Linked DNA regions of Caenorhabditis elegans. The protein of the gene in region 2 purifies or fractionates together with the protein of the main gene of each other region. This does not show direct contact. Each region holds a gene or a part of one and is shown on either strand. Other genes may lie near its edges.

The links. The genes of interacting proteins can lie anywhere in the genome.
Region 1: the proteins of hmp-1 (region 2) and magi-1 purify together in Caenorhabditis elegans (affinity purification with mass spectrometry, with the first as the bait; one study listed by BioGRID). This does not show direct contact.

What each region holds. Positions count from the first base shown.
Region 1 is NC_003282.8:11,713,107-11,718,083, reverse strand, and holds the start of magi-1 (Guanylate kinase), read right to left. Parts: upstream 3,046-4,977; 5' UTR 2,995-3,045; coding exon 2,976-2,994; intron 2,929-2,975; coding exon 2,864-2,928; intron 2,688-2,863; coding exon 2,621-2,687; intron 2,101-2,620; coding exon 1,863-2,100; intron 1,818-1,862; coding exon 1,621-1,817; intron 1,560-1,620; exon of another isoform or gene 1,383-1,559; intron 1,225-1,382; coding exon 1,105-1,224; intron 866-1,104; exon of another isoform or gene 721-865; intron 1-720.
Region 2 is NC_003283.11:11,844,228-11,851,928, forward strand, and holds the start of hmp-1 (Vinculin), read left to right. Parts: upstream 1-1,649; 5' UTR 1,650-1,650; coding exon 1,651-2,034; intron 2,035-2,078; coding exon 2,079-2,534; intron 2,535-2,580; coding exon 2,581-2,784; intron 2,785-2,856; exon of another isoform or gene 2,857-3,079; intron 3,080-3,179; coding exon 3,180-3,710; intron 3,711-3,812; coding exon 3,813-4,640; intron 4,641-5,123; coding exon 5,124-5,264; coding exon of another isoform or gene 5,265-5,312; exon of another isoform or gene 5,313-5,561; coding exon of another isoform or gene 5,562-5,669; exon of another isoform or gene 5,670-6,553; coding exon 6,554-6,654; intron 6,655-7,395; coding exon 7,396-7,543; 3' UTR 7,544-7,701. UniProt on the Caenorhabditis elegans protein: Required for cell migration during body enclosure and cell shape changes during body elongation. Required for proper localization of other junctional components, such as pac-1.

The DNA.
Region 1 (4,977 bases), on a different chromosome or scaffold from region 2:
CATTTACAACTAAAAGAATTTAGACCTGAATGTCAAAACGCCAGTTTTGCATCTCTATTTCAATAACAATCCTCATCATCATTATGCCCTTTCAACTTCCATTTTCGGACTTACTGTCAAAACTAGTACTGGTTCAGGGTACTTGACCGAAAAATGGCATTGTTTTGACAAGGACGCAAATAGGCAGGCAACGACACCAGTAAAGAAAAAAAACGAAAAAAAAACTTCAGGATTCAACTTTTGCTGCTAACTCCTTGTCTTCTCCGAGAATTTAGTTCAAACAGGGATTAAGCAGAGAAAGTGTAGGGCGAGAATAAGAAGGATGCGAAAAAGTAAGAAGAAGAATAGAAACGAAACAGAAAAGAATGGAAGAAGCCACTATGAGATTGAATTAACGAAATTGAATCGAATCTGTGGGGGCATCACCAAGTCTTCTCTTTCCGAAATGGAATGAAGAGGAGCCAAAAACAATAGTCAAGTTTACTGCTACTTGTCACATGGATATTGGTGGGCTCCGATGACAAGTGAGCATGATATATGCATTTTCTCAAGGCGGACATATGGATGAAAAATGATCTGGGAAGGCAGATCCGTTGAGAAAGAATTTTCAAATTTTAGGGTGCACTTTTTACACATGCAAAGAATGTAATCCACTCCAATTTTGGTGAGAGAGGTGAATGAACCATTGTGTCAGGTAAGAGAGAAAGAGAGAGGGACAACGGAAGGAGAAAGATGCAAAATGAGCGGAATGGGACTGTGTTTTGTCACGAAATAGTGTTATGAAGCAGGAGACGTAGAGGGTACAGTCCTCCATTTGAGGACATACCAAGATTGCGTAAGAGGGTAGACGAGGACTGTGAGGTAGAAAACAGGTAAGTGAGTGTGATGAGAAGGTAATAGGGGATATAAGAGATCGCAGACAAAGACAGATGGAGCTATTGAAGCGGTGGAAATAAGAAATAAGAAATTCTTAAGACAGGTGCCGAAAAAGGCTACCAGGTGGCTGGATTTTACGGAGATTCGCGAGCAAGTAAAACCGTGAAGCAGCGGTTTTCTTTTATGATAATAAGCGTAAAATAGTTGAACATGGAGAAAAGAGGTTACCTTGATATGTACCATTTTCGAGCAAGTCACCACTGTCGAGAAGCTTATTAAAATCATCTACAGACACAAATCGATAGTGTTCTCCATCAACTTCACCTTCTCGTGGAGGTCGAGTTGTGTCTGAAAATGGTCACTTTGAAATTGAAATTTGTTTTAACTTCAATACTTGTCCCTCCATAATAATCTTTTAGATCAATAACAGGAAGAGATGTTCGTTTGGAAAGAAATGCAGGTTTTAGTGAATGTTTTGGTAAAGGCGAACCGAACATTTTAACACTTCCACTGGTGGCCAGCTTCGGACCCTCCCCCACCTTGTGATGATCCCCTAGATCCTAAATCACCTAATTTAATGGGGCGGATGTCTAGGTTTCTCTAGATCACACACTATTTCATCTCAATGATACTCCCTGTGGGCAGCTGCTAGTGCCATTGAAAACAATGAGGTTTTGAGGAATGAAACTTATAAGTATTAAATCCAATCTAGTTAGTTTCAGATCAACTTTTTTTGTAACTCACAAGGAACTGTCTTCTGATATAAATTTTCTCGAATGATAGTCTGAAGTTCACCAGATGATTTTCTATCGGCCAGTAGTTCACAAATATCATCGGTAATTGCTCCAGCTGGTAGAATTTCAATCGCAATTTGATCATGTTCTCTCATCATATCTTCCAATATCCTATTCACTTCAGATCTTACCATTCCTGATACTTTTCTGAAAATTTAAATAATAAAAAAAGAAATGTTCTAGAAAACCTACATGTTCTCAATTGTTAAAAGAATATCGTTAGGATGAACAATTCCAATTAAATCATCACGTCGCACAATATCAATCAGAATGAGTCGTCCAATTGAGGCTCCGCCATGTACTGTAAACGGGGTGATGACGTCTCGAGATGAAGAGTTTCCAGAGTCCGAATGGCAAGAAGATGTCGTGGAAATATGATGATGTTCACTGGCAATACGGATCAGTCGACGAGCAGCAAGTCCGGATGGCACTAGAATATTAAAAATTATTTTCAGTCTTTTTTTGGCTATTTCCTGATTTTTGGTTTTTTTTTCAAAAATGATCTTTCTTGACTTACAATGATTTTTTTTGCTTTAGTTGTTAAATTTTTATTCGGAACCCAAACAAAAAAAAATTTTAAGACAGTCTTGATGAATATTAAAAAATTAGGTATTAACGTGTGCTCCTACTGTGTTTCTTTTGACAGTGAAAGTATTCAACTAGTAAAATTTAGGTTACATTTTTATCTTTAGAAATAATCGAAATATGAAATCTCAGAGTATAGAAATGTAGGTGTAATACTAATAGGGAGCATATTGTATTATATCTATCTATGTTTGAAAAAAAAACTCACTAAAGAATTAAAAACTTTTCAACCACACAATAACTAAAAGCTCTGTTTTATATTTCACTGTAAACTGAACTTTGAAATGCATGGAATATTCAAACTTTAAACTTCTTCGTTAAACTCAATATCTTTCTTGAAGGTCATAAATGATTGAATAACTCACGTTTGTCAGTGGAATCTAGTGAAGTGCTTGGGCTGCTCGTGCAATCGAGCATTTCTTGAAGAGTGGCCTGAAAACTTGGGATAGTGAGGGGAGGAATTCAGAAGGACGACGAACAAGTGGTTGGGAAGAGCCTTCCACTACTTCACTAATCCTTTTTTCTTGCGAATAAACAATGGGAAGTGGTTTTGAAATGAGTTTTATTTTGGGGTGGAGCCGTTAGACATGAAACAAATCAAAACAAACCTGAAGCTTTTCAATTTCCAATGTGAAATCATCCTTTTCTTCATCTCCAATTTTCAGGCAAAGTTCTGAAATTAATAATCTTGATGTTTATGGACTAAACTCTCAATCTCACCAGCTGTTTTGTCGGTCATCTTTTTAGTCGTGGGTTCATTAAGAGAATGTCGAGTTGGAATGTCTTCTCTGCAACGAAAATGAATTACTATCTTCAAAGTTCGGAATGGCCCATGAGAAAGGGGACCGCATAAATTTTGCGAAAACAAATAAATATTTATTACGAAACAACCGTTTGTGTGTCGGCGACCTCAAGAGAACCCGAAGGAGAGCAAGGGACAAGCAAAAGATGAGAAAGAGTGCAGTGTGAATATGAATAAGGCGCTGTCGAAATGACAAATTAATAATGAGTCAGAGATTGGAAATTGGAAGAAGAATAAATAAGAAGAAGTGCGCGCAGATTTTTCAGAAAGTTTAGCACTGTCAGGTGACAACAAGATATTTGCGCAAAATGTATTGAAAAGTATAGCGCAAAACGAGCAAGAAAAACCGAAAAATGAAGTCTTCGACTAAAAAAATTTCGCGCGCCCTATTTTGAACTCAATTTGAACAGAAACAAAACAAATCGTGTAATGTTTTGGAAGTTCGAAGATATTATTGATAAAAGAAAAAAATGAAAAAAGCGAAAAAAAATTGAATTGTTCCATGTAGTGTCTTAAAGAGGTATGTGGAAGACTAGCAGGGATGCAATACTGTTTATCGATCGACTAAACCGAGGGGCAACTCTAACACGCGTGCAGTGTACCCACCACCATTTGGCCTACATGAATTGCGGGAAATGTAGTGTGTTGTATATATTTTAGTGCGGTCACACCTGTTGTTTTCTACGGGTATCACTCAATAAATTTTGTTACTAAAAGAGACATGAAAAATATTTAAACTCTATTTTTTAGTAAAAACTGGTGTTTCTAATAAAAATTCAACTAAATAATATAAGTAAGTTTTCAATACATATTTATAATGAATTAGATAAAATTGAAATATACATGTTAACTTAATAATTTTAGAGTCATGATTACTGTAGCACTTTAAAACTTTCTAGTAATAAATTAGAAAATTTAGACAATATTTTGAAAAGAATAACATTACTTTAGCGAAAATACTTGCCACTTTCGAAAATTTGAAATTCGTCAAAAATCCCACTTTCGTTCGAAAAGCCGTGAGTCATTGCACCTGGGAAACTCGATTCCCTTCTTTCTTAATGTTGGAAAATTTTTGAATTTAAAAATAAAATACAACTATTAGGAGCTATAGTTTCAGGACAGTCGGAAAATTTTCAATTTGGTCCAGAAGGTTCGAGTTGACCGTCGGCAAGCCTAGAGCATTTTCTTGCGAGGCGCAAAAAAGCTGAATGTGATATTTGGAGAACAAACATACACTTTGCCGTTACGGCACGCACTTTTGCTTCTCGCCGATAATATGGTGAACGGTTTTCTCATAAAGCGTTAAATCCTCTGCGGATAGAAAAAGAAAGGGAGACAGGTCAATTTTGTAACATACTAATGGTAAACGCACCGAGACGACAGCGCTGGTCAGGCTCATATAATTCGTCAAGTTCTTCTTCTTCTTCTCCGATTTCTACACAAACTTCCGAAAGTTTTCAACATCTGCCACGCATCTGGCATGTTGTGCTGCAGCAGTCACCACAGAATCACAGTGATGACAGCGACTTTAGAAACAAAAATGAAGGACAAGAAGTAGAAGAAGGGGACGGCTGTTTGCAATTTGTACTCGAGGGAATCAGCTGGAGATTCGTAGTTACGAGAACACAACGAAAAAGACACACATTAATCCTGAGAAATGCAAAAATTTGATTGATGCTGAGAAGAGACAAAGGCGAAACAGGGAAAATCATGCTTCCAAAATATAGTTGAAGTTCTCTACAGAGAACTCCTATAGGAACCTTTATGTAGGTAGATCACATTATTTACTGAATTCTCAATATTCATGAAAACACACAAATGCCTACCTTTGTGCCTACATGATTTGCCGCGCGCTTTTGCAGATACTTTGGTCCAATGTAAAAACGTTGATCCCTTGGATGCTCTTAACTCCCTAGTTTC
Region 2 (7,701 bases):
TCGTAAAAATTCTATAAGTATCTTAGTAACTCCAGTGAAAAAGTTCAATAAGCCGGCAACAGTTACTAGATTTCCGTAAATTGTCTATGAAAGTTTAGACAGGAGAAACCTCTTAAAATTGGGACAAAATAGACTCTAAATCAAATTATTATTGAACATATTTTTACAATAGCACAGATCGTGTTGCAGTGATTAATAATGTTGTTGATATCATCTGAGAAAGTTCAGGTTCTCAGAAAAATGCAATCTCAAAAATGTACTTTCCCTGATTTTTCCTAGTTTTTTTTCTTTTTTTTCACTTCAGTTCACCCCCGCGATTCAAAGTTTACAAACAGCTGCTGCCGTGTACAAAACGTGATTCAGACTTCTCTATGACTCAGATTCCACTTTTTTGAAACGAGAAATTGTTTCGGTCGTATTCAAATTTAAATTTCAATACCCAATATAAGAATATGATGATGATGCATCAATTCACTGTCCTTCCATATCCCTCAGAATTATCCCTCGAAATCTCCGAATAAGACGTAGAAGACGTCAAAACAAAAGGGAAACTTTTTGTCCCTTTTCCATCATCTTCTCAATACTCCTTCCATAAAAGTCCTTTATTTCCGGGGCGCACACTCACACGCTGCTGCTGCAGTTGCCCCAACATAGGCCATACGTACCCAATTTTATAATCCATGGGAGTCGGGCAAACAAACTCAATTCGGTCATCTTCTCCATCTGTCGAGTCTCTGCTCATCCCGAAGGGAACCGTCCTGCTTCCGTCCGTCCCAATGTCTGTGTCTCTTCATCTCCATTGACCAGTGTCCTTGCCTCTTCGTCCTCTATTCCCGCCGCTCGTCCGTTCTTATACCCTTCTCTCCGCTCACTCGTCACCCGCTGACTGACCGACCGGCCAACCCGACTGAATCATCATTTCTTTATGTGTCTTCTTTCTCTCTATATTTAACAGTGTCTTCGTACACCGGTTGATGGTGCGGAATCATCGTTTTCACCATATTCACTTCTCACTCGCAAATACCTCAAAAGTTTGCTTTTTGTGACTTTTTGGCTTCGCAACTTTTTTATTTGAAAATTTTTGAGTGTGAAACATATATTCAACATGGCAAATAAAAACTAAGTTTCTTCATTTTCGGTCGAAATTTTAATTTTCGAATTTGTTTTTTTCTTAAATTTTATTTAAAAAATAGTTATTTCCTAAATTGCCGGCATGTGAAACATAATCCCCTATTAATTGTTTTGTTTTTTCGTTGAGTAAACACCCGAAAGGCCTCACAGGCCCCACCACACTTGTTTCTCGCTATTTTGCGAAAGGATTTTTTATTTTTTTCATTGAAAATTTAATTTTTAATTTTTGAAAAGTTAGAGTAAAGATTTTTATTTTATATGAGTCATTTTCTCAAAGAATAAGTAAATTCTGTGTTTGCCAATAAAGTTTAACGGTGACAGTACCCTCTTGGATCTCTTTGAGACCAACCACCCCTTCTTTATCGTGCGCCTTCAAATCTAACAGTAGTTCTAATCGATACTTTAATGTAAGGTTATGTATTTCTTTTTATATTTTTTGATTTCATCTCAATATAAATATTATTTCTCTTCGTTTTATTTGCATTCTAATCTGAATTTTCAATTTTATTAATTTTCAGAATGCCTGCGAATGGCAATTCTCATGCGTATTTCAACATCGACGAAGTGCGCTCGAAAAATGTTTTGAAACAAATTACTCAATTAATCAATGAAGTGACCAACATCACTGAAACGTTTCCGTTAAAACCTGGACAAACTACTGAAGGACTTGTCGCCACTCTTGATGCTGCCGTTGCTAATTTTCTTCAAACGGGAAGCTTTGCAATTTCGAAATGCCCAATTGCAAACAGTGATCCACGCGCAATTGATTTATTGCACGAAGCTCTTGGAGCAGTTCAAGATACTGGGCAAGTGATGATTCAAACTGGAAGAGATTTTGTCAGAGATTCAACTTCAACAAACAAACGAGCTATTGCAACGAATTCTGGTAGAAATTTGTTGACTGTAAGTTTTTAGGTACTCTTTTAACTGAAAAATGTTGTATTCAGGCTGTCGCTAAATTCCTAATTCTTGCCGACTCGATTGATGTAAAAGTGATAGTTGATAAAGTAGATGAAGTTCGAGAAACTGCACACCAAATGATTGAAGCGGATACAAAAATCAAAGTAGATGATTTGTACAATCTTCTCATTTCTCAAATCGAAGAACTTGATATCACTGTTCGACGACGAGCCATTGATTTGGTTAAACCAAATCAGAGAGATGATCTTCTAGCAGCAAGATCAGCACTTCGACAGACTGCACCACTTCTGTATACTTCAACACGAACATTTGTAAGACATCCAGAACATGAAGAAGCTCGAAGAAATCGTGATTACACTGCAGATGAAATGCATTCTGCTTTAAATGCTCTTGAATCTGTTTTAAACGGACAACAACCGAAAGTAACATTTTCTGAATATGGAAGAATAGGCGATCTTATCAATGAAATCGATACTTTTCAAGTGAGTTTAAAAATTTCAAATAATAAGACAAATAATTTATTTTAAGAATCGAATCGAAATTGATCCAGCCCATTATCGTCGAGGAACTGATCGTCCAGATCTTGAAGGACATTGTGAACGAATTGTTAGTGGTTCTGCTTCAATTGCCGATGCTGAAAGCACTCGTGAAAATCGAAAACAAAAAATTGTTGCTGAATGCAATAATTTGCGGCAAGCTCTTCAAGAACTTTTGACCGAATATGAAAAATCTGTAAGTTTTTTCTATTGATCTCTTGACTTGTTGCCTCGTTTAAAATAAAAAGAAATAAAAAACATTCAAAGAAGCGCATCTTTTTCACAAAAGGGCGATGGAGACGGTGAGAACAAACAAACAAACAATCGTGCGTTCTTTCAAGTGTGACGCCTTGTCCCTCAGGGCGAGAACAACTGTTTTTGTTTGTTAACCGAACTCGAACTAAAGCCGTTTTTTAGAAAAAAAAATGACCACCGCGAGTTCAGACATGGAAAATGTTTTTTTTAGAATTTCGGGGAAATTCTTTAAAAAATTTGTAGTAGTAGAAAATATAGAGACTACAAAGTTTTTACAATAAAATTTAAAGCTTATTACGACCTGTTTAACTATGTTTTAAATCTGTAATTTTTCAGACCGGCCGAAGAGATGATAATGATGATATTCCTCTTGGAATCGCAGAAGTACACAAAAGAACAAAAGATCTCCGGCGACACCTTCGTCGTGCAATTGTAGATCATATAAGTGATGCTTTCCTGGATACCCGTACACCGCTTATTTTACTGATAGAAGCTGCTAAAGAAGGCCATGAAGAGAATACAAGATATCGTTCAAAGATGTTCCAAGAGCATGCAAATGAAATTGTTTCAGTTGCTCGTCTTTCTTGTCAACTTTCATCAGATGTTGAAAGTGTTAGTGTCATTCAGCATACGGCTGCTCAACTTGAAAAACTTGCTCCACAAGTTGCTCAAGCTGCCATCTTACTTTGCCATCAACCTACTTCAAAAACTGCTCAAGAGAACATGGAAACCTATAAAAATGCTTGGTTTGACAAAGTGAGATTGTTAACGACTGCTCTTGACAATATCACTACTTTGGACGACTTTTTGGCTGTCAGTGAAGCACATATTGTTGAAGACTGTGAGCGGGGAATCAAAGGTATCACGGTAAGTATTTTAGTTCTCAAAATTTTAAATTTAATGAAAATTAACAAAAATAGTTTTCGCTAAATTCGTCAACTTTTGAGACGTTCAAACTGAATTTTCCAGGCAAACGCTTCAACACCGGATGAAAATGCGGCCAACTGTGAAACTGTCGACTGTGCTGCCGGATCGATACGTGGACGAGCTCTCCGAGTCTGTGACGTTGTCGATGCTGAAATGGACTTCCTTCAGAACTCTGAATACACTGAAACTGTTAAGCAAGCTGTTCGGATTTTGAAAACTCAACGTGTAGATCAATTCGCTGAGCGTGCGAGCGCTTTAGCCAACCGTCAAGAAGCACACGGACTTACATGGGATCCAAAAACAAAGGAAGAAGAAATGAATGAATTTATCAATGCTTGTACATTAGTTCACGATGCAGTTAAAGACATTCGACATGCACTTTTAATGAACCGAAGTATGAATGATGTTGATTCGGATGTAGAGTATGAAGCTGATGGTGTTGGTGCAGCAAATGCAGATGCTAATCGTACGATATCCGAACAAGAAAATCAACAGAATCTGATGAGACGATTGCCAGAAGAAGAGAAAAAGAAAATTCAAGCACAAATTGATATCTTCAAAGTAACACAAACACGATTCGAAAGAGAAGTTGCCAAGTGGGATGAAACAGGAAATGATATTATATCATTGGCCAATAATATGTGTAAGATTATGATGAGTATGACAGAATTCACAAGAGGTTGTGGGCCATTGAAAACGACAATGGATGTTATCCGAGCAGCACAAGAAATCTCACTTAATGGATCAAAACTAAATGCATTGGCACGGCAGATTGGAGAAGAAAGTGCTGATTCGCAGACGAAAAAGGATTTGCTCGCATATTTGTCACAAATCACTCTATATTGTCAGCAACTGAATATTTGTAGTAAGGTGAGTTTTTTTAATTGGTGCCACGAGCTGTAAAAGCGTACCAAATGTTTTTGGTCAATTGTTTGTTTCGGGGGTTTTTTAAATTTGTCAAATTAGTTTTTCAAGAAAATTGTAAAGATTCACAATTAAAAACGCGTCTATAAAAACTAAAACTGAAAAGAATCTCGTATTTTTCAGAATTATCTGAAAAGTTTTTGAAAAAATTGAGAATTAAAAAAAAAAACTTATAGATAGTGTGATATTTCACCAAAAGAGGTTTCAACTGTTTTTAACGATTTCAGTAGAGATATAATTTTACTTCGCGTTTTTTTTGCGAACCAAGCTCTAGACTGAAGCCATGAAAAATGAAAAAAAAATTGTGATTGGCCTCACTTATACTAGAAAATTGTTCATATACTTACTATAAATAAGTTTTGTTTAAATTGCTTTCAAAAAACCATGTGAAATATAACTTTAAACTTTTAATAGAAAGTAATATTTCAGGTGAAAGCTGATGTGACTCAAGTTGGAAATGAGCTTGTCGTATCTGCACTTGACTCTGCAATGTCTCTTATTCAAACGGCTCGAAATCTTTTAACTGCTGTTGTACAGACTGTTAAAGCTGCATACATTGCCAGTACCAAGGTTGGTTCCCTTTCTTTAAACAAAACATTAATTATTATTCCCACTTGATGTCTGATACTATTGCTTTCCAGCATTTATCACACATTTCTTTTTTCGTACAGACGATAACGGCTGCTTACGTAATTCATTTCAAATCAGATGGTATTTCGCCCACTCTTTTGAGTAGACACGTGGTTTAAAGTGCCAATAGACCAGTTGCCTTTTGTACACTGAATTTTGAGATTTTAGAAAGTGTACCCAAAAGTTTTAGAAAATTAAATAAATAAAATTAAAAAAAAAAAAAAACATTCTCAATAGTGTGCACAACGCGAACGTGCTCGAGTCGAATCAGCCGTTGCGCTTAGCGATGCTCACAAAGCTATTAATTATGAAAGTCCGATGGATGAATCTGGTGAGAAAAAATGAGAAAGCATTAAATATCGTGTTGTGTGGTTTTATCGATGTTGTTTTTGAGAAAAAGAGATATTGAGCATGTCGAATTTAATTTTTTGCTTTTTTCTCAAAATTTACGTTGGCTGCTGCGTAATTTAATGGTAAATATTTTTTATAGTTAAAAAAAGCTTATGTCTTGAGTTCAAATCAGTGGTTAAGACTATTAATGTTTGACGATTTTTTTTTAATGGAGTAGGGATTTTGCTTTAAAAAAATCCAGAATAGTTTGATTCTCAGAAATACCCAAAAAAGAGAAAGAATGAAATGTCGAATTTTCGAAAATCAGATTTTTCAATTTTTGGCGATTCCCTATTTGAATTCTCTCAGTTTGGTGCGAATTCAAACATGGAATTTAGCCAAAAATTAAAAGCAAAATCTCAGATTTTTATAGATTTCCTGAATCCTAGAAAATACAAATTAATTTTCATTATATTCCAAAAAAAAGAAAACAATTCCAGTTAAATATGTTAATTCAAATTGGTAAGGACATCCCTTTCTTATTTTCCCTTCACACTTAAAAATCGTTTTCCCAACAAAAAAACATTTAACTTTCTAAAAATGCATTGTATCGGTCTTGATGTGTGGACATCGATCCCCCAATATGTCGGTCTTGTGATCTTATACTCCCCCGTAAAAAACTCATACATTTTAAACTAGATTGTATTGCAACTTTAACTAAGAAAAGAAGATTAAGTTGAAAAAAAAACTTGAAAGAAATTGATACGAACGTAAAATATGTGTTATTGTTGATGAAAAGTGTCTCGATGTTGTTTGCTGTTGGTTTCATTTTCTTAAATTGCTCGAATGCTTGGAATTCTTTGCTGATAACTTCCTGAAACTCATCCTTATTCTTGCAGTTCCGTCGTCCTAATGCCAACAGTGTACGTGTCGAGTGGCGAATGGCTCCACCAAAGAAACAACCACTAATTCGACCACAAAAGAATAATGCTATAATCAGGTAACGTTTTCATCTATTTTTTTTGAATCAAGGATCCCTCTATAAGTGTTTCCTTTGCCTGCAAAAGGACATATGACACACTTCATTGAGAAGCCATGTGAAAAAAAGTAGTCGGTCCCTGAATAATTCATAAAAAATAGCACTGCCACCAGAAAATGGCACGTAGCTGCCATTGTCAGTAGTCCCAAGTCCCTTTTTTTGTGGTAAAAGTGGTGAAAGCCGAAAGAGCTGCGACACCAAAATGTATATTCTTGACTTGTTGAGCAAAAGTGTATCCCTTGAGGATCATAAATGCAAATTGAGTTTTCGGAAAGCAAAAAAAAAGCGACAATGTTCATAAAAAGTGATGAATAGTTGGATGATTTCGGACATTGAAATGAAAGTTTTAAAGCATCAAAAAACACAATTTTTCTTTTCTTTCAGAAAATTTTCCCCCCCTGAAAAAATTTTTGATAAGATTTCAGACATTTTTTAAACCTATTAAACTAAATTTTACGATTTTGAGATGCACCCCGTAAATCGACACAAGCGCTACAGTAGTCATTACAATAATTACTGTAGTTTTCGCTACGAGATATTTTGCTCGTCAAAAATATGTTGTGCAATACGCATACTCAGAAGTTGGTGTTCCCGTGATAGGTGATCACTAATTCTTGATCATTATCTATTCCATTACAGAAAATTAATTAGAATCCCCCTTTCAAAAGATGTATTCAACGAACGCCGACTAATGTTATAAAGAGTTTGCAGACGGGCATCCGAACGGCGACCTTTGCAACCAGCTAAAGTGCTCGCCGAGTTTACGCGTAACGAGATTGAGACGGGTCGTGATAGTGACGACGAGGAACTTGATCGCCGGCATCAACAAAGAATAAACGGTCGTTTATAGATAATTTATTTCAGTTTTATTCATGTATCTTCATACTTTTCCCTTCCAAATCTTTCCACACATCCTTTATATGCCCGAGTCTTTATTATTTTCTCATTCTTTCAATTCTCTTCAGCTAGAAATTTGTATCTGTGTATTTTTTGTATTCATTTCTGTTT